Linked DNA regions of Notamacropus eugenii. The protein of the gene in region 3 purifies or fractionates together with the protein of the main gene of each other region. This does not show direct contact. Links are inferred from orthologs where the notes say so. Each region holds a gene or a part of one and is shown on either strand. Other genes may lie near its edges. The genes, in order: DNM1L, TSR1 and SERBP1.

Region 1 (10,612 bases), on a different chromosome or scaffold from region 3:
GTATTTTAAATCAAAGCATGCACATTTTTTAGGCATAATACTGCACATTAGTAGACTACAGTATAATGAAGACATCGCTTTTAAAACAAATTGTAGCTAGGTGTCTGGAAAACACAATAAATAAGAAATTACTTTGCGGAGGGAGGGGGACACTCCCTTTTCTGACAAGATTTCTAAGAAATTTAGAAAGCAGCTTGGCAAAAACTAGATCTAGATCAACCTCTTATACCAGGAGCCAGGAACCTGCAGCCTTGATGCAACATGTGGCCCTCTAGGTCCTCAAGTGCAGTCCTTTAACTGAATCCAAACTTCACAGAACAAATTCCCTTAATAAAAGGATTTGTCAGACTTATACCATATACCAAAATTAGTTTAAAACTGATAAAATGAATATAAATAGTCATGCCATTAAAAAAATTTTAAGAGAATGAAATCATATTATCCTTCACAATATGGCTGGAGTGGGAGTGATCAACTTACAACAGAAAATGTTACAAATGTAACAAAATGTTACCTCCTTTCCCGGGTTTACCTTAAATGCCTTTTCCCCCTTCCTTTTTAAAGTCTTTATTAAAAGGAATCCTAAAAGGCAGGGAGAGAAATGAAGGTGAATAAAAATATCAGTGTAATTCTAGCTCTTGTAGCCTCTTCTACAAAAGCTCTAACTACTGTTACTGTTATAAAAGACACAGCATCTTGACATAATGGCAAGTGTATGTTGTACTCTGGTATTAGTTGACTGTGATGACTGACAAGAAATGGAGTGAAGTACACCTACAGTTTAATGGTCATGCTATGAACAAACTGAGAGAGTACATCACGAGAAGTTTCAAAGCTAAAAGAAACTGTAAGAAGGCAAAGAAAAGAGAATGAAGAGACCTTTTTATTTATGGAACTCTCTATCTTGCAGAGAGAATTCTTGAGAAAGGACTTTAATTGATATCCTTAAAGAAAGGCCTGTGTTTTTAGAAGCAAAGACATCTGCAGTTAAATGGTTTGAAGTGATTCTAGCTGTGATACTCTCACAGCTAAAACATTGTAAATATTTACCTGTCTGTGTTATGACTGGCAACATTAACAAATTATATGTAGCCAGTAATTAACTGAGCAGATCAGGAGTTCTCATATATAAAGATATGAGCCACCACTTATAGAAGGGGGTTTCTCTAGCTTATTAAAATATTCAATTAAGCTGGGGTGAGGGATCAGAGCTTAAATGACGCAATTTAGTAATTAATGGGGAAACATTTAAATATGATTCTGGATGGGACTATGTAAGCTACAAGTGAGTAGTAAATCCCAAAAAATTCAGCTACATAAAATATGTAAAAATAAATGTGATATTTCATGTACTAATGTAAATAACTACAAGGCAATTTTAATCAAGTGTATTGGTATTTAATATCAATTATCTAATAAATCACTGTTATGAGACTGTAGCATTTGGAGAGAGAGCTGGCTCCAGAGTCCAGTAGACCTGGGTTTAAGGCTCACCTCTGACAAATAATGGCTGTGTAACCTTGGGCAAGTCACTAACCTTCTCTGACCCTCAGTTTCATATCTAAAATGAAATGGTTGGAATACATGACCCTTAGAGATCTAAATGCATGATCTAAGAAATGGAGGCATCAATTATAGATTTTTTCAAGAAGTCACTGGTTTTCACAAAGGTTTTTTTTTCTCTTTTCTCATAGCTCCTCCCAATTTAATGGCTAGTTCATGAATATATTCATCAGTATACTGAGAGAAATAAACTCCATTAAGTGTAAGATAAATCCTTCTTGTTCTTAAACTATTTATGTTGACACATTATATGCCTGATTCTTTGTCTTCTTGCTAAGTTCATATTTCTCCTATATACACAGAGCTTTAAAATTGATGGAAAGTTTCTGGTTCGCAGTGGCCTTTTACAGCCAGGAAACAGTTCCAAAATAGTTCCCCATGATACTATGTAACTATTAAAATTCTTAAATATAGACTATAAAATGGAAGGGTCCTTAAAATCGCAAATTCAGAAAACAATGGTAAACAATAAAATTTACTGAAACCTGAAGATGACTTATTCCTTTAATATCTCAAAAGGTACTTTAAGAACTTATAGTTTCACAGAATTATTAATACAAGCATTAATTATTACATGTTCTTGTTGTTCAATGACTTCTGACTTCATGACCGTTTGGTATTTTCTTGACAAAGATACGTGAGTGGTTTATCATTTCCTTCTCCAGCTCATTTTACAAATAAGAAAACTGAGTCAAACAGGTTTGAATAACTTGTCTAGGATCAGCACATCTACTAAGTGATCTGAGGTCAGATTTAAATTTACAAAGATAAGTCTTCCTGATTCCAAGCCCAGCATGCTATCCTCTGCACCATCTAGCTGTCTCAATTATTATGTATCTCACTCTCTCTCTATATATATATGCAAAATTCAACTTTTTTTGTATTTAACCAAACCTGGGGTTTTATTTTTGTAGGGAACATGAGTTCCTTACAAAGGGAAGGAGGACACTCCCTCCCACCAATATAACTTTGCAAATGTTAGAATACTTAGAGAGTAGCACAGAAAAGTTAAGGACATGCCCAGGGTCATATAGTTAAGTCAGCATATGTCAAAAGAGGGACTTGGAAATCAGATTTTCTTGATCCCAAAGTCGGCTCACTGTGCACTTCACCATGCTGTCACATTGACTGAATATTATGACCACTAATTCTATAATATAGGGTTGAAAGAACAGTGTTTAAAAACCAGGAGGCAAGGATTCTTATTCATGGTTCTACCATTATATGATCTTTAGCAAGTCATTTATCTCTCTGAGCTTGTTTCCTTATGAGTAAAATGAAGGAACTTGCACAACTAACCTCTAAGATCCCTTTTCAGTCAAACTCTACAATTTGGTCTACATGCTGTTTAAAAGTCCCTTCGCAGATTAGAGGGGGGAAATTGGTTAATGGTTACTGTAGTTACCATTTTGAAGCAATATTGTCTTTGTATTTTCTCTGTATCAAATCCAACTATCTCCAAAAATTCTCACATTGTCTCCTCCTCTCTAATCTCACTGTCACCACTCCTGGTCAGGGCCCACACCACCCCTCCCAACTGCTCACACTCTTTAAGTTTCCTCTTCTACAAGGCTGTCAAAATAATTTTCCTCAAGCCCAAATCTAACCTACCTCCCATATCAAATTCCAGTGTCTCCTCCCAATCATTTCCAGGATCACATACAAACTTCTGTGTTTGGCACTTAAAGCCCTGCACAACCTGGCCCCAGAATACCTATTTCAGTCTTATCACCACTGTCTCTCCTACAGAATACTCCATTTCCAATCTCCATGAGTTTGCCCTTTTTGTTTTCCAAGTTCACGTGTCCCCTTCCATATAAAGCCTTTCCTTATCTTCTCTCCCCCTCAAAAACAAATTACCTATTTCTTTCCATATATATTATACAGATCATAAATAAACGCACTATAAATATACTCTCATGAACTGTTATTAGGAAACGAAAACATGTAGATAGCTTCTCAGGTCTTCAGTTCACAACAAAAACCAACATACGATTCTACTTCACCCCTTATTCCAGCAAAGTACTAGGGAAAAACAAGACAGAGACCTTTCCATCTTTCCACTCTCCCTAATTCACTAAGGCACATTAGGGAATATGACTTCCTATACTTTAAAGCATTCGCTTCCACAATTCTGTGAGCAGGCCAGCGTGGATTGCCCAGTCTCACAGTGGGAAGAACATTTATGGCAGTAAAGTGTTTTATCAGAGAAGGTAAAAACCACGCCCTGCAGAGGCGAACCCAGGTGACCCTCGCCAGCACCACAGCGGGGGGTAATGGGGGGGAGTGTTATGGTGTGAGGCCAGTGTAGGGGACAGCGTGCGCGCCAGCGTGGGAGTGGGGATGGGGGATGGTGCCCCGTGCGCGTGCGCGTAATGGCCAAGCTTTTCAAGAATCCCGGAAGGTGAAACTTCACAAGGCTCGGATGAACCCTGAAGCCCTCTCACATTCTGCTGCTCTGATCCATAATTCGCTTTGCGGCCCAGGGTGAGCCCGAGAGGTGAGAAAAGGAAAACCAAGCACCGAGACTGCCGAGCAAACTCGGGCACCGATCCTGAGCTCCTGGGCGGCTTCCCCTTCCACGCACCCCGCTTGTCCCTCAGTTGCCCTTGGAAACCGAGGGCCCTCCCCAGGGCACCTTCCCTGCTCATTCCACACCACCATAGCTCCCCGGACCGGCGCCGCGCCGAGCCGAGGCGACTCCGCCTACCAGGATCCCTCCCAGTCCCCAGGGAGGCCCAAACAACCGGATGAAAGAGTAGCTGCAGGGTGCAAAAGGCCGGGCCCCCCAGCTCCACCCAACCCCACCCTGCCCCGCCTGGCCCTGCCCTGAGGCCTAGAGGCGGCCTAGCCTGCTGTAGTGCAGCGGCCCAGCCAGCCCAGGCCCCAGCATTACCTGGGTTCCAACTACGACGATCTGGGGTAGCTGGATGATGTCGGCGCCCACGGTGTTAAAAACGTCCTGGAGCTTGTTGATAACTGGGATCAGCGCCTCCATGGTTCTTGGAACGCAAGGCCCCTGACCCGCCGGGCAGAAGCAATGAATGAGGCCGGGCCCGGAGTTCACCTCCACCTTCTAGTCGCTTTCCTCCTCCCCCTCTTCTTCCTCCTCCTCTAGAGCCAGCACCCATTGGACTTGGTCCGCCCCTTTACTTACTCCCTCCCATCAAGCTGTGCGCCAAAAAGGGGTGTGGACAGGGACTACAGAAGAGAGTCACAAAGGCTGACGGGAATTGTAGTCCGGGGAGAAAGAAAGGGTGGGTGGGGAGAAACTGCTCTGGGTGCTTTTACAAGTTTGCCTGTTGTGGTAACAAATCAGAATTACAGGTTCTTGGGGTTAAGAGCTGGGAGATCCGTTTTCAGCACGAGGAAACTGATCAGTATTTCATTACCTTTAATTTGCTAATAAAGACTACTTCAAATTGTTTGAGAGGTTGAGGACATATACATATATATATACATATGTGTGTATGCATTATGACTTATGTGTTGTGTATACACATATGTTTATATACACATATATTTATATGTAATACATATTTGTGTTACTCCTTTAAGGAGAGGGCCCCCTGAACTTCTCGGGATAAAACATACCCCACTGGAGCATCATGCTGCAGACTTGGACTCTTCTGCCTCCTGCCTGAGACCCCCATTCGGCACAGAACTGAGACACCTCATAGCTTTAGGACGCCAATTAACTTTGTTGATTTCTTGGGGCTGCAGAGGGTCCTTCTTTCAAAAAAAAAAAAAAAAGACCATTGAGTCAGGAAGAACCTAGTCAGTTTCAGGGAGAGGGAATTTCAGCTCTAGGTCTGTCCTATACAGTTGTTACCATGGGAAAATTGAAAAAAAAATATGCAGAATTTGGAAACAGGACATAGGTTCTAATCCCAGTTCTGCCACTTCATAGCTGTGCTAATCACTTCAGCTCTTTTAGCCTCATTTTCCTCATCTGGAACAGGAAGGCATATGACTCTAAATATATAATCCTGTACTCTTATAACGTGTGCCTGGAAATTCTGGTGAAGAGAAAGGAGAGAGGTTCTTTTCCCCTTCTGCTAGATGTACTTTCTCCACACCCCTACAACCTCAAGAACCTATGGCAGCACATAGCAGGACTTAGGCTGATTACCTGATTGTTAGCCCGAGTTGAAGCCTCAGATCCTGGCTACCTGTTGTCAATTGTTTCTCATTCCCTGCATAAAGCTATTCAAGCAGCAATCCTGAGATAGATGTTTCCTTCTTTGGAGGGAGCCTGATTATTTTGAGAGGTAAAGAGTTCCTGAGTCCCTCATTTGGAGCCAGCTACAATCAATCAATAATCATTTATTAAGCACTTAATGTATACCGGACACTAGGCTGAGTCCTGGAGGACTTAAAAAAGGGAACAAAAAGAGGAAAATGACAATCCTTGCCCTCAGGGAATTTGCAGTCTAATAGGGAACGCAACATACAAACAAATATATAAAGAAAAATGGGAAATAATTAACAAAGGAAAGGCATTAGGAGTTAAGAGAATTAGGAAAGGCTTCCTGTAAAAGATGGGATTTTAGTTGAGATTTAAAAGAAACCAGGAAAGTCAGTAGGCAGTTTTGAAGAGGGAAAACATTCTAGGCATGGAGGACAGCCGGAGAAAATGCCCTTAGCCAAGAGATGTGCCTTATTTTTGGAAGAGCCAGGAGGCCAGTATCACTGGATCAAAGAATACATGGCAAGGAGTATGGCATAAGAAGTTTGGAAAGGTAGGAATGGGTAGGTTATGCAAAGCATTTTTTTATTTGATCCTGACTGCTATCAGTAGCCACTGGTGTTTCTTGAGGAAGGGACAGACATGGTCAAAACAGTGCTTTAGGAAAACACTTTAATGGCTATATGGATGAATTGGATTAGGGAAAGACCTCAAGTCTGAGAGAAATGATTATTAAATAACCAAGTATTAGGGAGACCAGTGATTTTTTCTCATCTTCATTTGGAGATTAGATCAAAGCTTAGTTCTCTGAAGAAAAGGGCTGATGATGAGATGATATCTTGGAAGTGTTGACCTACTCAACGAAAGAACCTTACAAAGAATTTAATCTATGGTTCTATGTCCAAAAAGGAGTGATCAGAGTCACAAGTCCCAGCCCCTCATTAGAATAGATCCATCTCTCATTATAATATTCATTCTTCACATTGATTGTTAACCAATCAGATTTGATAGTCACCCTCAGGTACACCCACTCTTCCAAGGGCATAAACATTGAGTGGATTGCATGAGAGGTCTATGATATTCAAGAAAGCCCCTGAGCAATTATTGCTGGCATGATTAATAAAATAATTATCCAAAACTATGTCTCTTGAAGTTTTTATATGTCATAAGTCTTTGGTGGCAGATCCACCAGCAGTCTATTGGAATTATCCAAGTGTGACGTGATAAGAGCCTATGCTATAGTGATGGTAGTATCAAAGGAGAGAAAGGAATGTCTGTGAGAAATGCTGAAGAACTGAAATTGATAAGCCTTGACAATAGCTTGGATATATAGAGAATATGAGATATAGAAGTTACTAACTCTTTGGATGTGAGCCTGAGGGTCAAAGAGATGGTGTTGCCCTCTACAGTTACAGGGAAGGGGGTGGAGAGGAAATAATGAGTTTTGGACATGTTTAGTTAGTGTCTACTTGGACATCCATTTTGAGATGTCTAAAAAGCAATGGGAAATGAAAGAAAGTGAGAAGAGAGGTTGATACAGAATAGGTAGACTTGAGAATCAAACATGGAGATGGTAATTTAATCCATGTGAACGGATGAGATCTCCAAGTGAAGTGGTATAGGAGAAGAGAAAAGGAGAGAGGATAAGAACCCTGAGGGACACCTATGGATAGAGGACATGATCTGGAGGAGGATCCAGCAAAGGAGAATGAAAAGAAGCTGTCAGATAGGAAGGAGGAAAATCAGAAGAATGTAGTGTTCCAAAAATCTAGAGAAAGGAAGAGAGGGTGATCCTCAGTCTCAAAAACTGCAGAGATATCAAGGAGAAGGAGGATTGAAAAAAGGCCATTGGATCAGGCAATTAAGAGATCACTGGTAACCTTTGAGAGAGAAGTGCTAGTAGAATGATGTCAGAAGCCATATTGTAAGAGGTTAAGAAGAAAGTGAGAGAAGAGAAAATGGAAGCATCTATTGTGGAGGGCCTTTTTGAAGAGTTTAGTTATAAAAGACAGAAGAAATACTGGATTACAGTTACTGTGGATGAAGGATCAGATGAGTTTGGTTTTTTTGAGAAGGGGAAAACATGGGGCATGTTTGTAGGCAGTAAGAAATGAGCCAGTAAAAAGGGAAAGGTAAAAATAAATAAGAGGGGGGATAGCAAAGGGAGCAAGATATTGGAGGAGACAGGATAGAATGGAATTGCTTGAACAGGTAGAGGAGTTAGCCTTGGTAAGGAAAAAGCCTTCTTTATCATTTGAGACAGTTAAAGAAGATAGAAGCAGAAGTCATCTGAATAATATGAGAAAGAGGATGGTGAAAAATCTCAATTTTTTCTCTAAAATATGAGGCCAAATTTACAGGGGCTGGGAACCTGCCGCCTCTAGGTCCAAGTCCTGACCTATGTCTTGCCACTACACTCCAGTGACTGGGGAGGAGAGAGCGAGGCTGGTAACTTTGCAAGCCCTGTTTCACTTATATCGAATTCACTTGCAAGTCAAGGCTTCACCCTCCTGATGTCATTGGGCCTCTGAGAAAAAAGGAGGCGCAATAGTCTGTGAGTAGTAATAATGATCAGTTCCAGTTGGGCAATGATGCTATATCCTCCATCCTCCTCCATCCCCGCATTCCTGGTAATAAGTCCTACCTGGTCATAATGTACTTACCATTCTCATGGTAAGTCACTGTAATCTTTTTGCTAATATTTTATTGAACACTTTTGCATCTATATTCATTAGGGAAATTGGTCTACATTTTTCTTTCTCTGTTTTGACTCTTCCCAGTTGAGGTATCAGGACTGTATTTGTATCATAAAAAGAATTTGGTAGTATTCCTTCTTTGTCTATTTTCCCAAATACTCTATATAGTATTAGAATTAATTGTTCTTCAAACGTTTGGTAGAATTCACTTGTACATACATCCATCTGGCCCTGGAGATTTTTTCTTTTTCATTGATGGTTTGTTCAGTTTCTTTTTCTGAAATGAGGTTATTGAAGCATTTTATTTCCTCTTCCATCAATCTGGGCCATTTAAGTGTTTGTAAAAATTTATCCATTTCACTGAGATGGTCAAATTTATGAGCATACAGTTGGGCAAAATAGTTCCTAATTATTGTTTTAGTTGCCTTTTCATTGGTGTTGAATTCACCCTTTTCATGTTTGATACTAATAATTTGGTTTTATTCTTTTTTAAAAATCAAATTAAACAAAGTTTTAGCTATTTTATTGGTGTTTTTTTTTTCATAAAACCAGCTCTTAGTTTTATTAGTTCAGTAGTTTTCTTAATTTCAATTTTATTAATCTCCTCTTTGGTTTTCAGAATTTCTAATTTGGTATTTAATTGGAGATTTTTAATTTGTTCTTTTTCTAGCTTTTTTTAGTTGTATGCTCAATTCATTGACCTCCTCTTTCTCTGTTTTATTCATGTGAACATTTAGAGATGTAAAATTTCCCCCTAAAAACCACTTTCACTACATCCAACAAGTTTTGGTATGTTGTCTCAATGTCATTCTCTTGGATGAAGTTGTTGTTTCTATGATTTGTTGTTTGACCCACTCATTGTTTAGGATTAGATTATTTAGTTTCCAACTTTTAGTCTATCTATCCATGTCCCTTCATTACATATAATTTTTATTGCATCGTGATCTGAAAAGGATACATTTAATATTTATGCTTTTCTGCATTGGATTGTGAAGTTTTTACGCCATAGTACATGGTCAATTTTTGTGTAAGTGTGCCATGTACACACTGGATAAGGTATATTCCTTTCTATCCCCATTCAGTTTTCTCCAGTGGTCTACGATATATAACTTTGAGAATAAGGTATATTCCTTTCTATCTCCATTCAGTTTTCTCCAGTGGTCTACGATATATAACTTTTTAAAAATTCTATTCATCTCCTTAACTTCTTTCTTGTTTATTTTGTGGTGAGATTTATCTAGTTCTTAGAGGGGGAGGTTGAAGTCCCCTACTAGTATGGTCTTCTTGTCTGTTTCTTCCTGTAACTCCTTACTGCTCCTCTAACAATTTGGATGCTATACCACTTGGTGCATATATGTTTAGTAATGATATTATTTCATTGTTTATGATACCTTTTAACAGGATATAGTTTCATTCCTCATCTCTTTTAATTAGATCTGTTTTGGCTTTTGTTTTGCCTGAGATCAGAATTGCTGCCTTTGCTTTTTTTTTTTTAACTTTGGCTGAAGCAGAATATATTCTGCTCCAGCCTTTCAAATTTACCGGGTGTACCCCTCTGTTTGAAATGTGTTTCTTGTAAACAGCACATTGTAGGTGTTGACCTGAAAACTTACCAAGAAAAGGCAACATGGCTAAATGCATACATTTTATGATTTAATTAATTAATCAATTCCCTATTAAAGAAAACAGTAACATAATGCATTATGGAGCCAGAAATGTTCTGGCTACCCAGTGCAGAAATCTTCTGGCTTATATACATTTTGCCGTGAGAAAGGAACTCTCCTAGTTGAACAAATCATAAATTTAGTAAGACAAGACAATTAACAAAGTAATGTTGGTCAGGCCTTGGGATTCCAAGCTGGGTAAACATATGTCTCGGAAATCCCACCACTAGTAAGTGGTAGGCTTCCTGCCCTAAACAGATAACTGACATAGGAAAGGGTAAACAAAGTTCAATAGAAATTACGACCTAAGATGTCTGTGTTTTCTTTACCATTAACATGCCATAACATAGTGTAGGTCTACAAATATTAAGATATGGAAAACGTCCCATTATTCAAGATAGTGTCTTAGGTTAAAGGTCTCCTTAAGGAATGTAGAGTCAGCCTTGGCTGGCTTTTGCTGACATAGGAAGAGGCACTCTCTGAGTTTGCTTCAGAGAGAA
Region 2 (10,107 bases), about 490 Mb from region 3:
TCAGGGACAATGTTGGCCATGCATTTCTGTTACAAGCATTTTGTTTTTCTTATATGGGAGAGGGTTGACAGGGGAGAGAAAATAAATGGTTGTTAATCAAAAAATAAAATTTAAAAAAAAAGCCAAAAAAAAGTCTAGCCAAGTACTACTACTCACGTGCAGCCCAAAGGAAGGGCTAGCCTTGTCTACCCTAAGGAAGTCTATGGAGACGGAATGAAGTCTACCTCCAAAGAAAACTCAGTCACTGGCCTCATTTCCAAGTAACACCAACAGGTACCAAACCAGATTACAACCTCCTGCCTTGGAAGTCCCCTCTCCTGATTCCATGCTTGCACTCAGATCCAAGCAGACTGAATAACACAGATCAAAGCCATGCTCCATTGTTCAGGAGGTGCGTGCATTTCCCCCACAACCAAGCCTGGCTGCCCATCCTATTGGACCTTCACTGGAGGAGGGGCCCCAGGAAACCCAGGATCCCAGTGAACAGGAATGAAAGGACCAAAAGGGGGACCAACCCTTTGCCTCGTTCAACTCCTCCTCAGTGGGCCAGGTTTGTTCCCCCTCCATGGGGTCTGGAACCACTTCTGACTGGAGAGATTCCTGTCGAGCAGGGTCTGCTTTCACTAGGACCTTCAGATCTTCTTCCATCTCAACTGCACCATCAGCATCAGCAACATCAATCTGAGAGGGAAGCAAGCCACAGGTCACTCAGTCAGGTGTTTTCTTACTAAGAGCACAACATGGATGCTATGTACCCCCCATTCCCCCAACTACACATCAGAAGCAGGCTGCTCTGCTCCCCAGCCCCATCCCACTAAGGCTGGCATCCTCCACACTGATTCTGTCTGCCATCTGCTCTCACACTAAAAGCCCACAGTTGATGGCCTGGTAGCAGACTGGACCACCTAGCCCAGTAATAATGACATTCACTTCCCAGGGTCATTACAAAGTAAATAACATATACAAAGTACTTTGCAAGCCTTCAGGGGCCACCTAAATGTTGACTTATTCTACAGGTTCATTTCACAATAGGATTAAGTTTCACCTTGAGCTAAAATTCACCCTTACTAAGGGTGGTTAAGGCTACATTCTTCTAATCGACACCTTCTTTACTAGGGCCAGAGAGAGGTACATGGTTGGTTAACACAACTCAGCTCATTTTAAGGCAGAAACAAAAAAGACCCCCTCCTTTCCTATGCTCGAATCTATCCTACATGTGGCTGCCACACTTTGTTAAAAGTCATTTTTTACTCATGACCCCATGTGAGGTTTTCTTAGCAAAAATATCAGAGAGATTTTTGCCATTTCCTTTTCCAGATCATTTTACAGATGAGGAAACTGAGGCAACTAGGTTTAAGTGACTTGTCCAAGGTCATACAGCCATTAAGTGACTGAGGCTGGATTTGAACTCAAGTTGAGGCTTCCCAACTTCAAGCAGGGTGCTCTGTGCACTATAGTGTCACTTAGCTGCCACAGCGATCTTCCCTAAATGCTGCTTTTCTGCGATAGAGGATTCCAAGAACCTGCTGGTAAATTTTCAATGGCTATTTCCTAAGTAGTCAGGTCTGCCTATTTTCCACCCTCCTCAGCAACCTCCATCACTCTCCAAGACATCCCCCCCACCTCTAGTAGGGCCAATGTCTTTGCTAGCATATGACTATGTGCTGCTCCTCCTTGCACCTGTCCCTTTATCCATTTTATTCCCCTCACCTGGAGAGTTCTTCCCCTTGAGGGAAGGTCTCCCACCTCCCTGGCCTTAGTACAGCCCCAAATCATATTCACCTGCCTGACTCATGCTGAATAGTGATCTGCTAAAGCCTGGAGATTTTTTCAGACCAGCTGTTACCTAACCATGTCTCTCCCACTGATGATTTCATCTCTCAAACCATGACTTAGATAAAGCACAGAGGCATCCCTAGTCTATTTTCAGATGGAACGTAATGGACTAAAAGCATCGATTAAGCACTTACTACGTGCCAATACAGATCTACAGAGTTAGCCATAACTATCATTCTCTTTCCAGTAACAATTAACAAAAAAGAAAAATTTTTAATCAAAAAACAAAAACGAGCTGCCAGCTTCCTTGGAAACCAGCCGATCATCAGCAAGTACAGCCCAGTGATACCACACACCTGCATCACCATGTCCAGGCCTTTGCTGGCCTTGATCACCCTGGGATTTAGAGGAAAAGGGTCTGGGGGTGCGTCAATCTGCTTGATCTGGAAATCACCATGCCCAACGATATGCAGGAGCCGGTTTACGTTGAGAGTCTGCCCACGAACATAGCCTGAAACTTTTAAGGTGCCCACCAAGCTGCTCTCTTGGCTGGGCACAAAGTCAGCAGCATGGGCAAACAAGTAGGAACGCCGGTCTCGGAAGGCCAGATGCCGCTGCTTCTGGTTAGCCAGATGTCGCAGAAGCAGCACTGCATCCTGCTGGGTATCCAACTGGAGCAGTTTGTCTCCTGGAAATCGCTTATCTAAGGCCTTGCTCAGCTTCTTCTTGGCATCTGCTTGTTTCTTTGGGAGAAGGCCCCCAACCCCCTGGAGGGCTAGAGCTGGGCACAAAAACAGACAAGTAGTTATGAGCCATGAAAGCCCACTGCAATTAATGAACCGTTCACTCTGCACTAAACACAGAGCACCAAACCCAGCATAGAGGTGGCAGACAAGGGACGGAGGATAAACCCACAAACTAAGACACTCAATCAGTACTATGTGGGTAACTTGGCCCCTAAGAAGAGGATCCTACCGCTCTCCTAGAGATGGCTGATAATCATAATTCACTTACAATATGTAGGAAGCCCCTGAGCAAAGAGGCAAGAGAGGCAGTAATCGCCTGTGCTGTCCCAGCCCTCCACTGGATCCAGAACAAACAGGATGGTATCAGCCACTTTGGCAAGGTCCAACAGAGTGTGCAGATCGCCTGGATTCACAAGGCATCAACAAGACATCACAAACACTCAGAAAACACTAAGAACACTGGCCAACTAACTATGACAGGGACAGTCCAAGTCAAGCTCAGCCCAACGCTGCTCCTCCCTTGGCCTTTCACCCACCTGGTTTTGCAGATGTAAAGAACCATCGATGCTTCAGCTGAGGACAGAGCAGCATGAAGCTTGGCATTCCAGCTTGCTCCCCCACAGGCACAACCTTCTTGTCTGTGTTCTGGAGCAGCTGCAAAGCCTCACCCAGGGAAACCCTCTCATGCAGGGGCACCAGCAGCACCTGATGAGGTGGTCCATCCTTGCTGCCCAGTTGCCTCTTTTCTGCCAAAACCTGAGGACAGAGAAGAGAGGCGGGTGAGCACTTCACAGGCAGGTCCACCTGCCCTATTTCCCTCATTCTCATACTCAGTATTCCATTCAAATGATCTCTCTACCTTGAGGACCACAGAATTGAGAAACTATCTAACCCAACCTCCAGTCTTAAGGAAACAAAGTCTTATTGAGGGAGGGAGCTTGTTCCGGGTCACAGCAAGGCCAGGATGAAATTGCTGGTTCTCCAACTCTTACATGCAACAACATTATTTGGGGGTACCACACTGTCTCTAAAGGCATCCTGCACCCTGGACCAGGATGCTCTATCTACAGCGAGCGATGGGGCCAGGAGAAGAATGCTGACCAGACCTCTAACTCAAGGCAGGGCCTCCTCATCAACCACTATGGGGCATCTTTGTGTCGGACGCTGGGGGAGAGGCCAGAGACACGAGGACAAAAGTGGACTGTCCCTGTCTGCCAGGAGTTTTTGTTCTCCGTGAGATTTACAGCACGGAGTCAGCACCAGGGAACTAAGGGGGGTGGTCCGGGAAAGGCAGCAGGGGAGAGGAAGCAGTGCCGGGAGGCGAGGGCGGTTCTGAGCAGGGAGTTTCGTGATGACTTATTTCTTGGGAAGATTACTTCGAAAACAGCGTGGAGGAAAGACAGAGAAAGGAGAGGCTCCACAGGGAAAGGTCCAGTAGGATATGGCAGTAACTTAGACAGGAGGGCGGCCTGAACCCACGCGACGGCCACGTGAGAGGGGAGGAAACTGGAGTTTCGGCTAAACTTCGGGAGATGCCGCGGAAGGGAAGGGGGCCGCTGGGGTTGGGGGCAGGCGTTCAGCCCCCACCCCCCGCCTCACCGCCTCCTTCTTCTGCTTCCGGAGCTGGCTGGCCCGGTGCCTCTGGTCCACTCGGCTCAGCTCCTTCCTCCTCCTCTTGCTCAGGGCCTTCACGGCCACGCGACCTGGAAGGCGGCCCCGGGAGGGCAGAGAGCCGACCGTGAGTCCGGGGCCCTGCGGCAGCCGAGGCGGCCGACTACGGCGGAGGCCAGGGCGGAGAAAGGCCTCCTGCGCCCGCAAGGACGGAGAAAGGGCTGAGCTGAGCCCTCCTTCCGCCCGCTCCCGTGACCCCCTCACCTTTGCCGTCCCGCTGCGCCGAACCCCGACCCCGGTGGCGCCCGCTCTTGTGGGCCTTATTCTGCTGTTTGAGCGGGCCGGCGCGATGAACCGCCATATTGCTCCCCACGTGCGTGAACCTACGACTTCCGGTGCTAAGCCCAGGGGTTCCGGTTCCGCCAGCACAGAGGCCTGAGTGGGTGGGGGCTCTGCCAGGGGGCGGAGTTTCGGTGGAGGGGCGGGGCTTTCCCCAGTTTCAAGAGTAGATCACTCCTCAGCCAATGGGAGTATTTGAGACCTACAGCCTATCGCGCTCTAACCTTCCCCCACGTGGTCACCTGCGGACTTGGGGGCTTTAATTGCAAGTTCGGTCAGGCTTCCCCAGAACCCTCCCTCGGCCTCGGAGTTTGCTTCTTGTCTCCTGGTTTACGAGAATACCCTGCTTTAGTTGCGGGGGATGGGAGGGCAGGTTGGCTATTTGCTTGTGACTATGGAGACCCCACCCCCAGGCCCTTCCGAGCTTCTGGCACACAAGGACGGAGCCTCCACTGCTCTGCGTCTGGTCCTGCAGCCCAGAGCTGCTCGTGACTTCTCCAATTCACATCAACCGTTTTTTTCCTTCCTTCCTTTCAGGGCCCTAGTGTCCTTTTCCTTTCTGCAGAACTCCCCGGGGAACTAAAGGATTTGGAATTGGAAGGGCCCTGGGAGGTAATCTCATCACCATTATCATCAAAAATTTATGAGGCGCCCACTGTGTGCCAGGCGCCGTGCTCCGCCCTGAATGCCACAGACAGACAAAAGAACAACCCACCCAATTTTCTAGGTCTCCCAAGTCACTTAACAGAAAAGAAAATGGGCTCAGAGAGGGGAGATGCCTCTCAGCCTAAGTCTTCTCTCCTAACTTCTGGAATTGGGACTAAGCGAATGTTTCAGGCTTAAAGCAAGTCCCTTCACCTCTGCACACACACACACACACACACACACACACACACACACACACACACACACACACACACACACACACACACACACACACACACACACACACACACACACACACACACACACACACACACACACACATCATCCTGTGACTGTCTCTGGCCAAACTAAGCCTAACTCGACTCCAAGACCCAGAGTTTGCAACCCTGCCATCGCTCCCCACACCCCAGCTGCTGCGGATTGTAAACAGGGGGTACCCGCCCTGGAACGAATCCGGAGGCAGAGTCGAGTCAAGCAATATCAATTTATTAAGCATCTTTTACGCACGAGGCACTGTGCTGAGCACGGGGGGTGGGGGTGGGGATTTAAAGAAAAGCAAAAAAAAAAAATAGCCATTGCTCTCCACGAGTTCACTACATGCAAACAATTTGGTACACAAAGATATAGCCAGATATACGTTGGACTTCATCTCTGAGAGAAGGTAGAGGAGCGGAAAGAGCGAGTGAGCGAGAGAGCGAGCAATTCATGTTTATTTCATCACCCAGATTCCCAGCCTCCAGCCTGGGGTGCTTCTCCATCCCTTCGGAAACCCTGCTGGCCTAAGGTTCGCCCAAGTCCCGAGCTGGGGCGGAGGATAGCTCCTTGCAAGCCCTGAAGGACTAATATTACTGCTCTAGACCCTGCCACAGTTACGGGGTTCTCAATCCACGGGGCTCGCCTTGTAGACGCTCCCCTCCAGTTGCCTATGCCCTCGAACTGATCTCTCTGCTCGGCAAGAGAAGCCGTTATACTTGGGTGGCATCCACCTTTTGGGGCCCTCTACTTTTCAGTCGGGTAAAGAGTCTCCCTCCTCTCCCCAAGCCTCCCACTTCCCCACCCAGGGGAATCCTGTTGCATTGTCCCCTCCTTTCTCCCACCATTCCCGGGTCAAAGGAGGTGGATGGGTGGGGGGCCCTCGCAGTGCTCCAGACGCACGCCCTCGGGACTAGGGGTGCGGGGGTGGGCGGGGGGAGTTCGTTGCCATGGCGGCGGCTGCTGGATGGCACGCGGCTCCCAGGCCAGCCCTCCTCGCTTCCCCCGCCCCAGGTAGACGCTGCCTCCCCCTCCCGCCTCCCCAAGCTCCCCCGGCTGTGGGAAGGGGCCGGGCCAGCCTCCTGACGTCTGTCTGTGCCGGGCTCGGAAGATGGCTGCGGAGGGGAACGGCGGGCAGCGGCGGCTGCAGGGTGCCGTGAGCGCGGCGGCAGCGGCGGGCCGGGGCTCCGCCTTGCCGGCGGGCAGCTGAACCGCGGAGAACCGGACCAGGAGCGGGGCCAGTGGCAGCAGCCGGGGCTAGTCGGCGCGGGGCTCCGCTCCCCTGGGCACAATGAGCCGCACCGAGGACGCAATCAAAGAGAAATTACTGTGGAACGTCAAAAAGGAGGTGAGGTTCGCGCCGGGAATGCAAGGAGCCCGGTCCTAGTGGGTGCACCCCAACAAGCCCCAGCATGGTCGGGAGATAGGACTCCAAAAGGTCCAGCCTCGGCGTGGCCCAGTGCTTTAAGGTCCCCTTCTTGCTTTGGAAGGACCCTCTCTGATTTGGGAAGACCCTGTACGAGGGGGAGAGTCTCATCCAGCGTTCCCCGGTGCTTGTTTTCTCCGCGGTCCCTGCAGCTCCCCACCCTATGACGGCAGCAGCAGTTCGGGAGCGGGGAGGGGGGCCAGGGGGGAGAGGTAGTTCCTGTGGAAGAGATTGAAGGAGGGGGATAAGGTTCATTCATTTGAAACCCCGCAGGAGGGAAACGGGGGGGCGGGGCGCGGTTTCTGAATGGATTCCCTTGGGAGCCGGGGCAATTCAGGGCACCCACCCCCAGCTCTGGGGCTCGAGGGTCGTTGAAGTTGGAAGCTTAGCTTCCCGGCTCCCGGGACCTGGGACTTTGCTGCAGAAGGGTTTTCCGCACCCAGACTGTTTCTCCCTCCTCCCACCCCCATAAGCCAAACCACTATCGGGTTCTTGCCTGAGAAACACCCGTGCGATCTTCTACATTTTCAGCCTGTGGGAACCCTTGACTTTCCAAATAGGGATGCCCCCTTCCCCAGTTTCCTTGTACCTTGCCACTCTGGCCTCTTCTATTCCCTGTTGCTTTCAGATGCCATTTCCCCCTTCCATCAGTGTGATTCCCTCCCTTGTTATGGTCTTAGCTGCCCTGCCATGTTCTCTGCCCTTTATGGGGTTCATCTCTGAAAATGTCCAATCGACCCAAGCATTTATTATTATACTCAAGCCAACCAAGCCCCTTTCTCTGCATCCTGATCTTGGGGCCCTGTCTTCCAACCATAGACATCCCAATATCCACACACCCCAACCCTACTTCTGAGCTATTTGAGAGCAAATGTCCCTAGGGAAAAGAGAACCCCTCCCCTCAGAGCCTAGAGGGAAAGGGGGAATTCTTTACTTGGGGCATGCTGGGCTGTGTGGTAGACCAAGGCTTAGATGGTCTCTTAGACCCTGTAAAAGGCTAAATGGAAGTCTGGCAGGATCCAAGAGGCTGGTGTGGTGACCAATTTCAGGACCCAGGGTAGGCTGGTTTCAGGGGTCTTTGGGGGCAGGGATACTGCTTCTTAGCAAAGAATCCTCTTTTCCTTCCTTCAGGAAGGACTGCACTAACCCACTCTTAAACCCAAGGTTGACTGCCTTTCCTTTGTATATCCATTCTCTTACTCCTTTCCACAAAGGTAGGGATGAAGCTTCTGAAATTTGAAGGATGCCTCCTAATTCAACCAGCCAGTCAACAAGTATTTATTAAGGGTTTCCTATGCACCAGACACTCTACTGAGCTCTGTAAGGTACAAAGAAAGGCAAAGACAGTTCTTGCCCTGGAATATTGAACATCCTAATCTCCCCTGTTAGTAGTGAGATTCCTGAATGCACCTGAATGAACATAGCCAGGAAGACATTAAACACACCAGATCCCCAGACAGGCAGACTGATGACCAACTGAATCTTACCCAGGGGAAATAAATAAAACCAGCTCACAAGTAGAAAACAGACTCTGTTCTCAGGGGAGATGGGCCGGATGATGTGGGAAGCAGGACACACTGATAAAAAAGCAAACTAGGACAAAGAGCCTAGCCTAACCGGGTTATATTTGGACAATGCTGAAAATTGGTGAGGTTTGTCAGGTGAGGGGGAGGCCAGGAATCTGAAGATGTCGAGCCAGGCCATCATAGGATCATAGATTTAGAGCTGGAAGTGAACTGAGGGGTCAACCACCTCAACTTTACAGATCAGGAAGCTGAGGCCCAGAAAGGTTAATGACATGCCTGAGGTCACAGCTATTTAATGACAAAGTTGGTTTTTTAACTCAGGTCTTCTTGACTTCCAGTCCAGCACTCTTTCTTTCCACTGTTTCCTTAATGAATGAGACCTAATCAAAATGAGTGGTTTCCAAACAGGAGTAAGGAGGCATGCCTGTAATTTACAAGCCCCAGGAATCAGCAAGGCTTCTCACATTCCCTGGATTAACCCTGAAGTTATTCACATCTCCACCTGTAGGACTTTAGAAGTAATTGATTCTGGGGCAGCTAGGTGGCCAGATAGCTAAAGCACCAGGAGTCAAGAGGACCTGAGTTCAAATTTGACCTCAAACACTTGACACTTTAGTAGCTGTGTGACCCTAGGCAAGTCACTTAACCCTGATTGCCTCAGGAGGAAAAAAAATGAATTGGTTCTGGGAAACTTTACCTTGCTTCTCACTAAGTGGAGCCCCAAGCTAAAAAAAGTCCTCTTGCAGGCAGGACCAGACTTTCTTTAATGTGGAATAATAAATAGGCACCACCATCCCCCCACCCTACCAAAATGGATAGTATCACTCCTGCTGATCTATAACCCTGTCTCCCAGTTAAAATTCAAGCACTCTTAGGAACCAGCTAGAATGTAGGCATTGTTCTTTTTCTAATCTCTGCATGCCCAGTGCTTGACACATAGTGGGCACTTAATAATGCTTGGTGACTGGGCCATTGATAGCTTAGTAAACTAAAAGCATGATCCTCGAAGAAATAAAAGCCCCCTCCCCAGATCCAGGGGAGCCCTGAGTCTGGGAGAGCCAATTGATGGAAGAAGGTAGGCCACAAAAAGTAGCCCTCATATCTGGGTGGATGCCAAGATACCAGGGGTGGAGGTTTTCTACCTGCAAGTAGGCTGGGGTTCTCAAGTCTATAGGAAGCATCTGAGAGGACTCAAGAGTGAACAACCCCTGACCTTGTTGTGAATGCATTACCTTGTGCTAAGTCAGTCTGACCTTCTTAAGGGATAGATTATCTACTGGGGAGACCTCATCCCACCAAGCCTGGGGACCCCACCTCCAGAACCCTTTGTGGCCCAGACACTTCCAGACTAACACCAGCAGGCAGGCATAGTTGCCTCCACTGGACATTAGATTCAGCCTGTCTGGGCCATCAGTTTCACCAACTGCTTCTCTGAGGCTTAGTATACTGAGGGAAATTTGAGGATCATTTCAGGTCTGCCATTTGCCCATTGGAAGATTCCATCAGTGACAAGGAGCCAGGCCCTCTTCCTTGGGACCCCTGGCTAAGAAAGAGTGACAGAGGGATTCCTTTGTTCCTAGGTAAAGCAGATCATGGAGGAAGCCGTCACCAGGAAATTTGTGCATGAAGACAGCAGCCATATCATTGCTCTGTGTGGTGAGTGACAGGGGCTGGTTATGGGAGACAGCAGACCTTTGTGGGCAAGTGGGATGACTCACTGTTTTATCTGTACCCCAGAACCATAGGCGTCATAGGTGCTTAACAA
Region 3 (9,986 bases):
AACCACCTTACAGCAGACCTCATGGGCCTTCCAGGAAGGCTGCAGGTTCCCCTTCCTGCTGACCCAAGGTCGGAGGAGCAGCTTGACCACAACTTGTCAACCACATGGGCAGATTCTCATTCACCTGGAGTTCTTTCTGATAGATTCGAATCACGTGATTCTTTGACAGAAATATGCAAATTGGGAAATGCAGATTTAGGGAGAAAGGATGTTCTAGAAACCCCTGGGAGTTCAGGAGAATGATCAAGATCTGACCTTGAGCTTTGTGAATCATCCACATATAAGTTAGGTTAGAAGAGATGAACAAAGGAGAACACAATCAAACGCCCACATCCTGACAACCTCATTAAAGTCACTGCAGCTCCGAAACAAGGGCTACTGACCACCCTGTTTTGGACTTTCTGGTCTCCTGTGAGAAACGCTCCCCTAACAAATGAATAATTATGCAATTGTGAAGTAGGGTCTGTTTACAGCTCTTCACTCCCAGCGCCCATCAAAGATACTTGTTGAAGTAAACTTAGCACTCACAATAAAAACAAAAGACCAGGTGACTCCTAAGACACTGAGTTCAGTCAAGAAGGCGGCCTACCTCTGAATCCAGTGGAGAGTATTTATTACAGGCTTGCTTGAAATAGAAATTGCTTTGCATTTTAAATCCTCTCTTATGTTCTGCTACACACATTTTTTCGCTTTCTTATTTTGTATTTAAGTTTAAAAGAAAAAAGAAAAATGCCTAAAAGGAATGGATGTCACGGCACAGAGGTGATGCAGAGATCTTGGACAAGTTGCCGGTGGGGAGCCCGCTGCCGACAGGTACTAGGGATGGGCTTCACTGCCAGCGCAGCCTAGGGAGGCCAGCATTTGGCCGTTACCAGGTTGGCTGCGCCAGAGCAGGTTTTTAATCTGCACTGATAGAAGAACCTGCACATCCCTGAAGTATGAGCATAGCCTCTCTCAAGGGACAAGAGAACCCTACCTATACTGAATACAGGTAGAGCCTATTAAAAAACTCCTTGTAAAACCTTTCATTCGGATCACCAATCCTGCAAATTCCCTATACTGTGGATGAAGAACACAAGGCACTGGGGAGATAAAGACACTAACAGCTGAGGCCACCTTTGCTCAAAGCACTCCCATCTATCACAAGAGTGGATCGGTATGTACTCCCCACCATGGACGAAACAAATCCAAGGCAGCTCTGGAGGGGGCGCTAGTAGCAAGGGTGATGAGAAGCAGCTCCCTGCAGAAGTCTATGCCAGTGGGTAAGCAGGCTAGTCAATTCAGCTTGGAATGCCCTACTCCAATTTCTTTAAGCACGAGGTGCATAAGGCAGGACAAATATTAAGAATTTAAGAGTTTAGATCAAGGGAAGATGAAGAGTGAAGCAAACCTAACTCTAGCAAAGGAAACGGAGCACAGCATGAAAAACTTTGTAAGGAGGCTCAGCCCTGGAGGGGAAAGGAGGTGGGCCCCAGGGTAGAGAACAGTGCATATGCTTTCAGATGTAGGGGAGGCAACAGGGGGACAGAAAGTAAGGTATCCCCACTGGAGAAGCAGCCCACACGCCCCCCTCGTCCCTCCACTGTCCTGTGACTAGAGGTTCCCAATTCTGGTGCCCCATCACTTTGGTTAATGCTTTTGCTTCTAAGAGTCTTCTCTTTTTAGTGGCATTAATATTCCTCTAGCAAATGTTTACAATCCTGCTCCACTGGGATAACTGATGACTTGGGACTAGATTTCTGATGGGGGCTATCCACAATCTCTCATGTTTCTGTCTTAAAGGAACGACTGCAAAATTAAAGGCACTTTAGCACAAAAACAGATGAATCCGACTTATCAAACATGTCAATATGGCTCTCCAGGATGCTTCATGTAATAGCCTGACTTTAATCCATTTGATTTTCCAGATGTAATTCTTTTTACCACCTGAACTCTATGTAAGCTAAGAGACTTCACCTTTTAGAACAGATTTTCCTACGGGGATATGAATATTAGTATATGCAAATAGAATCTTTCGTTCTGTCTTAAAACTAGACAGGAAAAAATGACTGTGCATGCTCATGTACTTTCAGGGCTTGCGGGCTGGAGAAGAAGAACTGTTACGAAACACTAGCTAGCTACCTGGCCTCTCAGAATTATGTTCCTGATCTAAAAGGAAATCTGTATCATTCAGACACAAGAATCCAGGGATTTACTGAACACATAAATGGGGTGAAACCCATTTCAGTGTCAAAGGGAAATATAGCGGACCCTTCGTCCCTCGTGGGGGCTGCATTAAAAGACTAAACAGGTGCCACGCGCTACCACAACTTCCCCCAATTCTACCCCGACACATCCATCAGAAAATGTCACCTAGGAGACTCACCAGATCTCCAATTAATTGGTCAACTTTTCCTCTTCTCTTCCTCATGATCACTATTCCACTTTCAATCAAAATGCCTTCTCTGATCAGACCCAACACCACCTCCATTCAGAGTCCCTGTGCTCGGGAGAGGCCGTGGCTTGGGATGGGGGAGAATAAGAGGATAACTCACTTATTTTCTGTGTCAGCCACTGGATGCTCTTCTCCCTCAGGTGTCTCCTCGGTCACAGTGGTTTGCTCCAAGTCACTGCAATTATAAGACATTGGTTTCTGAATGTATTGGGGGCCCCCTCTAAGGAGAGAAAGAGAGACAAGAAAGGCGCCTGGTTCTTTATCCGTTCCCCAGTTGTGCGGCCCCTCTCCCCAAATAAAAACATCAACTATCTCCCCCCACCCCAAAACATTCCCGAGCTTCCAGCAAGAGCATCAAAGCATTCATCCTCGGCAGCGAACAAGACTCAGATACTCCAGCTCAGCTGCTACGGGACCAGAACCGTCCGCGTGTTCGTAAATACCAGGAAAGGAAGGAAAGCTCGGATCATCGAGCATTCCACGACATCCCAATTCCGGATAAACCGTACCTTACTAAGGACAGGACCGACACCGCAAAGGTGCGAGTTCAAATCCTGCCCCATGCACCCGGCTTCCCCTGCGCCTGCCTCAGTTTCCTCCAGCGCCCAACGACCCCCCAGGGTTTCCCGAGGCCCCCCCCCCAGAGCGGCCGCGCGGAGGGGGGCCCCGAGGGGAGGGGGGCCCCGAGGGGACACTCACGTCAGCTCGTCCTTGACCGTGCCCCAGTTGTGCGAGCCGCCGCCGCCGCGCTTGTCCTCGTGCTTCAGCCCGCTGAAATGCGAATGGGAGAAAGAACTGCCCGCCTGAGTTAACACGGCAGTGGCGGGCCGCGGCCGCAGCGCAGCCCAGGGCTCCCGCAGCCCCCCGCAGCCCCCGCACCCACAGCGGCCCCACTTACGATCTGTCGCTCCCGCTGTGCCGGTCGAACTCTCTCTTCCCGCGGGCGTCGAAGCCGTCCCCTCTGCCCAGGCCGCGGCCCCGGCCTCCCCGGCCTCTGCCCCCGGGGCCGCCGCGCCCCCGCACGGGCCGCTCCAGCACGGGCCTGGGGGGCGAGAGCGGCAGCTTGGGGTCGGCCCGCGGGGTCTGCCCCGCTCCCAGCCGCGCCCCCCAGGGGCCGGCCGCCCCCCACCCACCCCACCCCGGCAGGCCCCGCGCACTCACTTGTCCACCGAGAACTCGGCGCCCTCGCCCTTGTCCTCCGCCGCCTTCTCGAAGCGCCGCTCGCGGGGCGGCCGCCGCTCCAGCCTCCGCTCCATCGGCTTGCCCTCGCCCGGCAGCTGCTGGTCCGGCCTGCGGCCGACGCGCCGGATCCCTGCGGGGCAGAGCGCGGAGGTGGGCGGCGGTAGGGAAGCCCGGCCGGGGGTTCCTGACGGGGACGGCCCAGGCGGGCAGAGCGGCCGGCCCCGCACACGGACGGACCGGCCCGGCTTAGGCCCGGCTAACGCGCCCATGCCAGCGCCGGACCCCAACAGCAGCCCCCGGAAAGCCACCCCCAGAGCCGCGCTCTAACAAGCTACAAACGTCCGGCGAGGCCCAGGGACCCGCCCCCTGCCGTCTACACAGGACCCGGGCGCCGTCTACACAGCAGGACGCCCCACAAGCACACGGGACCTGTGGATTCACGATGCCCGCGGGCCAGGAGCGCCCGGCACATCGCGGACACCGAGCCTCCCTGACGGGAGCGCCAAGGCTTTCACTCCGGGATTCGGGGGTGGCCCGCACGCGCCCCCCGTTCTGGGAGTAGGGGGGCCCGGGCGGAGCTGCAGGAAGGGTGGGCACGAGGGCGCCCGGGGCCAAACCCCCGAACGAACAAAGGCTCCCGCCCCCGACACGAACCCCGCAAGCCCCCCGAAGGCGCACCCCCTCCGTCCCCAAGGGGCCGGTTCCGAACCGACCCCGGATAAATGCCCACAGCTACCCCCGGCAAGGCCCGGAGGCCGGTTCGGTTCCGCTCTCCCCGGCGCGCTGGGCCCGGCCCGGCCCCCCGCCCCGCTCGCCACGTGCCGCGGCCTCAGTTTCCCGGCTGGGCCGCACGTGGCTCCCTGCTCCCTCCCCCTCCCGGGCCGCACGTGGGCCCCCCCTCCCCCCCGCGGTTCCCCGGCCCGCACCTTCTTTCTTGAGCGCGGCGGGCGGCGGCGGGGCCTCGTCCTTCTTGTCGGCCGCGGTGGCGGCGGCCGGGCCGGAGGCGGCGGCGCTGGGCGGCGCGGGCGGCGGCAGCGGGTTCTTGCGGTCCTTCTGCGACTCCTTGCGCAGCGGCTTCCCGGGCGCGCCCCCGCCGCCCGCGCCGGCCTGGGCCGCGGCCTGCGCCGCGCTCTTGGGCCCGGGCCCGCCGCCGCCCCCGCCGCCGCCGCCTTCCTTCTTCTTGTTCTCGGCCGCCTTCAGCACCTCGAAGGGGTCCGATTCGTCGTCAAATAGCTGGTCGAACCGGTTGGTGACGACGCAGCCGAAGCCTTCCTGCAGGTGGCCGGGCATGATGGGGCCCCGGCGGCGCGTTCCTCCACGGATTGCAGCGGGCCGCGCCGAGCCGACGGCGCCTGCTTCAGCTCGTCCCCACAAGATGGCCGGGCCGAGAGAGGGACCGCCTTCTCTTCCGGCGCCGCGCACACATCCGGGAGCCGCCGGCGCCGCGGGGCACGCCGGGAAGGGCAGGCGGCCGGCGCCGCTCCGCCCGAGCTTGCGCCAGCACGGACTACAACTCCCAGGGGGCGGCGCGCGCCGGCGGGCGCGAAGCGGCGCGGGGAGGGCGGAGCGCGGCGGGGAGGCGGGGGAGGAGACCCGAGCCCGAGCACCTGCCGCCTCCGGCCCCGCGCCCCCGCCCCCCTGGCGGGCGAGGACGGCCGCACGTGGCGAGCACGGTCAAGGTCACTCCCTCCGGCGTGGGGCCCGCCCACTCCTACTCCTCTTCTCCAGGCCGGGAGACTGAGGCCGCGCGAGGCAGCGCCGGTTTTCCGAGCGTCCCGCGGTGGGCAGGAGGCGGTGTGCATTTATTAGCCGCCCCTGCATGCCGAGAAGGCGGAGAGCGGCCTGCCCTCGGGGGGCTTCAGCCGGCCGGGCCCCCCGCCAGCCCCGCCGGGGGTGCCCCCCCCCCCCTCCCCGCTGTGACCGCCACGGCCAGGCTCCTCCTGCCCCCCTGCCGGGCTGGGTCCGCCCCCCAGCCCCCAAGACGCCCCCCGGAGCGTCCCCGCCTACAGGGGGCCTGGGGAGGGGCGCCTGCCACGCCCCCAACTCCTCCAAGCTCCCCCTGTGTGCGCCCCAAGCGTCGGGGTCTGCTAAGGGGGGGGGGTGCCGCGGCGGCTGGAGAGCCCCTAGGGTCCGCCTTGGGGCGAAGGGCTGGGCCAGGGGCAGCCGTGACCCTTCTGGGGGGGCCTGTCTTCGCTCACTCCTTCACTCACTCCTTCACTCACTCCTTCACTCACTCACTCCTTCACTCATTCATTCACTCACTCATTCACTCCTTCACTCACTCACTCATTCATTCACTCACTCCTTCACTCACTCCTTCACTCATTCATTCACTCACTCATTCACTCCTTCACTCACTCACTCATTCATTCACTCACTCCTTCACTCACTCCTTCACTCATTCATTCACTCACTCATTCACTCCTTCACTCACTCCTTCACTCACTCCTTCACTCACTCACTCCTTCACTCATTCATTCACTCACTCATTCACTCCTTCACTCACTCACTTCTTGACTCATTCATTCACTCACTCATTCACTCACTCATTCCTTCACTCACTCCTTCACTCACTCCTTCACTCATTCACTCACTCACTCCTTCACTCACTCCTTCACTCATTCATTCATTCACTCACTCCTTCACTCATTCATTCATTCACTCCTTCACTCATTCATTCGCTCACTCCTTCGCTCACTCCTTCACTCACTCCTTCACTCACTCCTTCACTCATTCACTCCTTCACTCACTCACTCCTTCACTCATTCATTCACTCACTCATTCACTCCTTCACTCACTCACTCATTCATTCACTCACTCCTTCACTCACTCCTTCACTCATTCATTCACTCACTCATTCACTCCTTCACTCACTCCTTCACTCACTCCTTCACTCACTCACTCCTTCACTCATTCATTCACTCACTCATTCACTCCTTCACTCACTTCTTGACTCATTCATTCACTCACTCATTCACTCACTCATTCCTTCACTCACTCCTTCACTCACTCCTTCACTCATTCACTCACTCACTCCTTCACTCACTCCTTCACTCATTCATTCATTCACTCACTCCTTCACTCATTCATTCACTCACTCCTTCACTCATTCATTCACTCACTCATTCACTCCTTCACTCACTCCTTCACTCATTCACTCCTTCACTCACTCCACTCATTCACTCACTCATTCATTCACTCATTCACTCCTTCACTCCTTCACTCATTCATTCACTCACTCACTCATTCACTCACTCATTCATTCACTCACTCATTCACTCATTCATTCACTCCTTCACTCATTCATTCACTCCTTCACTCATTCATTCACTCACTCATTCACTCCTTCACTCACTCACTCCTTCACTCACTCACTTCTTGACTCATTCATTCACTCACTCATTCACTCACTCATTCACTCACTCATTCCTTCACTCACTCCTTCACTCACTCCTTCACTCATTCACTCACTCACTCCTTCACTCACTCCTTCACTCATTCATTCATTCACTCACTCATTCACTCCTTCACTCACTCCTTCACTCACTCATTCACTCCTTCACTCATTCACTCCTTCACTCACTCACTTCTTGACTCATTCATTCACTCACTCATTCACTCACTCATTCACTCACTCATTCCTTCACTCACTCCTTCACTCACTCCTTCACTCATTCATTCATTCACTCATTCATTCACTCACTCCTTCACTCACTCCTTCACTCACTCCTTCACTCATTCATTCATTCACTCACTCATTCACTCCTTCACTCACTCCTTCACTCACTCATTCACTCCTTCACTCATTCACTCCTTCACTCACTCACTTCTTGACTCATTCATTCACTCACTCATTCACTCACTCATTCACTCACTCATTCCTTCACTCACTCCTTCACTCACTCCTTCACTCATTCATTCATTCACTCATTCATTCACTCACTCCTTCACTCACTCCTTCACTCATTCATTCACTCACTCATTCACTCCTTCACTCACTCCTTCACTCATTCACTCCTTCACTCACTCCACTCATTCACTCACTCATTCATTCACTCATTCACTCCTTCACTCCTTCACTCATTCATTCACTCACTCATTCATTCACTCACTCATTCACTCATTCATTCACTCCTTCACTCATTCATTCACTCACTCATTCACTCCTTCACTCACTCCTTCACTCCTTCACTCACTCCTTCACTCACTCATTCACTCCTTCACTCACTCCACTCATTCACTCACTCATTCATTCACTCATTCACTCCTTCACTCACTCCTTCACTCATTCATTCACTCCTTCACTCATTCATTCACTCCTTCACTCATTCATTCACTCACTCATTCACTCCTTCACTCACTCCTTCACTCCTTCACTCCTTCACTCACTCCTTCACTCACTCATTCACTCCTTCACTCACTCCACTCATTCACTCACTCACTCATTCCTTCACTCACTCACTCATTCACTCCTTCATGCACTCATTCACTCCTTCACTCACTCATTCACTCATTCATTCACTCCTTCACTCACTCACTCATTCATTCACTCACTCATTCACTCACTCACTCATTCCTTCACTCCTTCACTCACTCACTCACTCATTCACTCACTCACTCACTCATTCATTCATTCACTCTCCTGCTGTAGAGACAAGGCATTACCCTAGCCTTGTCATTTTCTAGCTTCCATGAGATCCAAGTATCACCACAGGCCAGGAGAGCAATCCGAGTTCTCCCAGAGAACGCTCCTCCTTGGCTAACCGACCAGTGTTTCTGTTATTTTGTCTTAGCCAGTCAGTTCACAAGCATTTATTAAAAACTTGCAAAGTTAAGTCTGGAGGATACCAAGAAAAAGGGAAAACCTCGTTGCCTGCCCTCCAGGAACTCACATTCTAGTTTAATAAGGAAGACTATGCAAATATATACAGCTGTATGTATACACAGGATCTTTGTGTAGAACATAGGGTGTTCTGTATAGCCATTTCAGGCTTGTCCCCAGCTCCCTTGTCCTTGTCATCTAGCTTTTCTGTGTGCTCTTTCCGCATTACATTGTAAGGTCCTGGAGAACAGGAGCTGACTCGGCTAAGATGCCCATCCTCAGGGCTTAGCACAGAGCTTTCACAAAGTAAGAGAGGCCAGGCAACTCTCAGACTACAAAATCAACAACGATCCAGCCCCCTGCCTCCAACTGTCCCCCAAATGACTGCCAATCTGCCCTCTTCTCTTTTCTCCCATCCAATCATCTCTGCTCCTCTAGATCCTACACCAACGGAAAAGAGACACAGATGGGGGGTACTTTCCCATCCTGGAAACAACTCACAGGAAAAGGCTCTGGGAATTTCCACACTCATTCCCAAAACCTAGAATCTATCCACTCCAAAAAGCACACCAGGTGTGGAGAAAAGGGGGTAGGTGGCACAGACAAGAGAAAAACAAATGCCCATCCTCAGGACATTTACAGTCTACTAGTGGGGGGGGGGGGGGTGTCAACAAATGTCTCTTAAACACCAACAGTGCCAGGGGAGACCCTTCCAACTTTAGAAAAGATCAAGTCTCTGCCTAATAATCAAGTATGCTACTGAACTGCTGTAAAAACCAGACCTGAGATTTTCCTAGGCAGAAGCTCTGTCTACTAATGAGATCATAGTGATAGCAAACATCCTTGTTATCTCATTTCATGTTCACATGAACCCCTACTAACTCTAGAAGTTGTAATTAACCCCACTGTCCCAGAGCTAGGAAGTGTGTGAGGCAGAATCGGAGCACTCATCATCTGGATCCAAGTCCAGTACTTTATTCACTTTGATCAAGCACCCAGCTAGTGCCAGTCAGAGGGTCGACTTGAACCAGGGTCTACTGGAATTGGAGGCTACACTGCTTTTCAGATCCGGTGAAGTCCCTTATTGACCGAGAGGAGCAGTCTTCCTGGAGGAGGTAAGACTGGCAAAGTCAAGGGAGGCCATGCCAGGCACAGAGGACAAGCTGAGAAAAGGCCCAGACTTGGAAAGGAACAAGGCTTATGTCAAGACCCAGAAAATGGACAATTTAACTAGAGTTAATGGGGGGCAAAGGTGACTCACACTGTGTAGTGGAAGGCTCTGTGTTTGTTGTGTATTTTTATTACATATTTATTTGTCTCCTCCATTAGGAAAAAAAGCACCTCTTGAGTAGAGGTAATTTCATTGTTGTCCTCAGATGCCCAGGGAAGCCTAGTTTGCCAGTAGGAGTCTAATGAATGCTTGTTGATTGATTGATGCTAAAGAAAGGCGTCTGAACTCTGCTCTGTTGGCAGTAGGGAGCCCAAAATAATTTTGGCCCAGAGGAGGCAGATGGCCAGATCCACAGGTAAGGAAAGAAATAAATCTGG

What was found.
Region 1: the proteins of SERBP1 (region 3) and DNM1L purify together in Homo sapiens (affinity purification with mass spectrometry; 3 studies listed by BioGRID and IntAct, with this or other methods). This does not show direct contact. The link is inferred for Notamacropus eugenii from reciprocal best matches to the Homo sapiens genes SERBP1 and DNM1L.
Region 2: the proteins of SERBP1 (region 3) and TSR1 purify together in Homo sapiens (affinity purification with mass spectrometry; 3 studies listed by BioGRID and IntAct, with this or other methods). This does not show direct contact. The link is inferred for Notamacropus eugenii from reciprocal best matches to the Homo sapiens genes SERBP1 and TSR1.

What each region holds. Positions count from the first base shown.
Region 1 is NC_092874.1:214,537,508-214,548,119, forward strand, and holds the start of DNM1L (dynamin-1-like protein), read right to left. Parts: upstream 4,243-10,612; 5' UTR 4,228-4,242; coding exon 4,105-4,227; intron 1-4,104. UniProt on the Homo sapiens protein: Functions in mitochondrial and peroxisomal division.
Region 2 is NC_092873.1:40,320,017-40,330,123, forward strand, and holds the start of TSR1 (pre-rRNA-processing protein TSR1 homolog), read right to left. Parts: upstream 4,532-10,107; 5' UTR 4,495-4,531; coding exon 4,398-4,494; intron 4,226-4,397; coding exon 4,122-4,225; intron 3,279-4,121; coding exon 3,059-3,278; intron 2,926-3,058; coding exon 2,791-2,925; intron 2,558-2,790; coding exon 2,133-2,557; intron 682-2,132; coding exon 516-681; intron 1-515. Other genes in the region: SGSM2 (small G protein signaling modulator 2), read left to right, coding at 6,682-6,738, 9,923-9,998. UniProt on the Homo sapiens protein: Required during maturation of the 40S ribosomal subunit in the nucleolus.
Region 3 is NC_092873.1:527,949,538-527,959,523, forward strand, and holds the start of SERBP1 (SERPINE1 mRNA-binding protein 1), read right to left. Parts: upstream 5,077-9,986; 5' UTR 4,907-5,076; coding exon 4,543-4,906; intron 3,747-4,542; coding exon 3,596-3,746; intron 3,477-3,595; coding exon 3,333-3,476; intron 3,230-3,332; coding exon 3,134-3,229; intron 2,655-3,133; coding exon 2,535-2,654; intron 1-2,534. UniProt on the Homo sapiens protein: Ribosome-binding protein that promotes ribosome hibernation, a process during which ribosomes are stabilized in an inactive state and preserved from proteasomal degradation.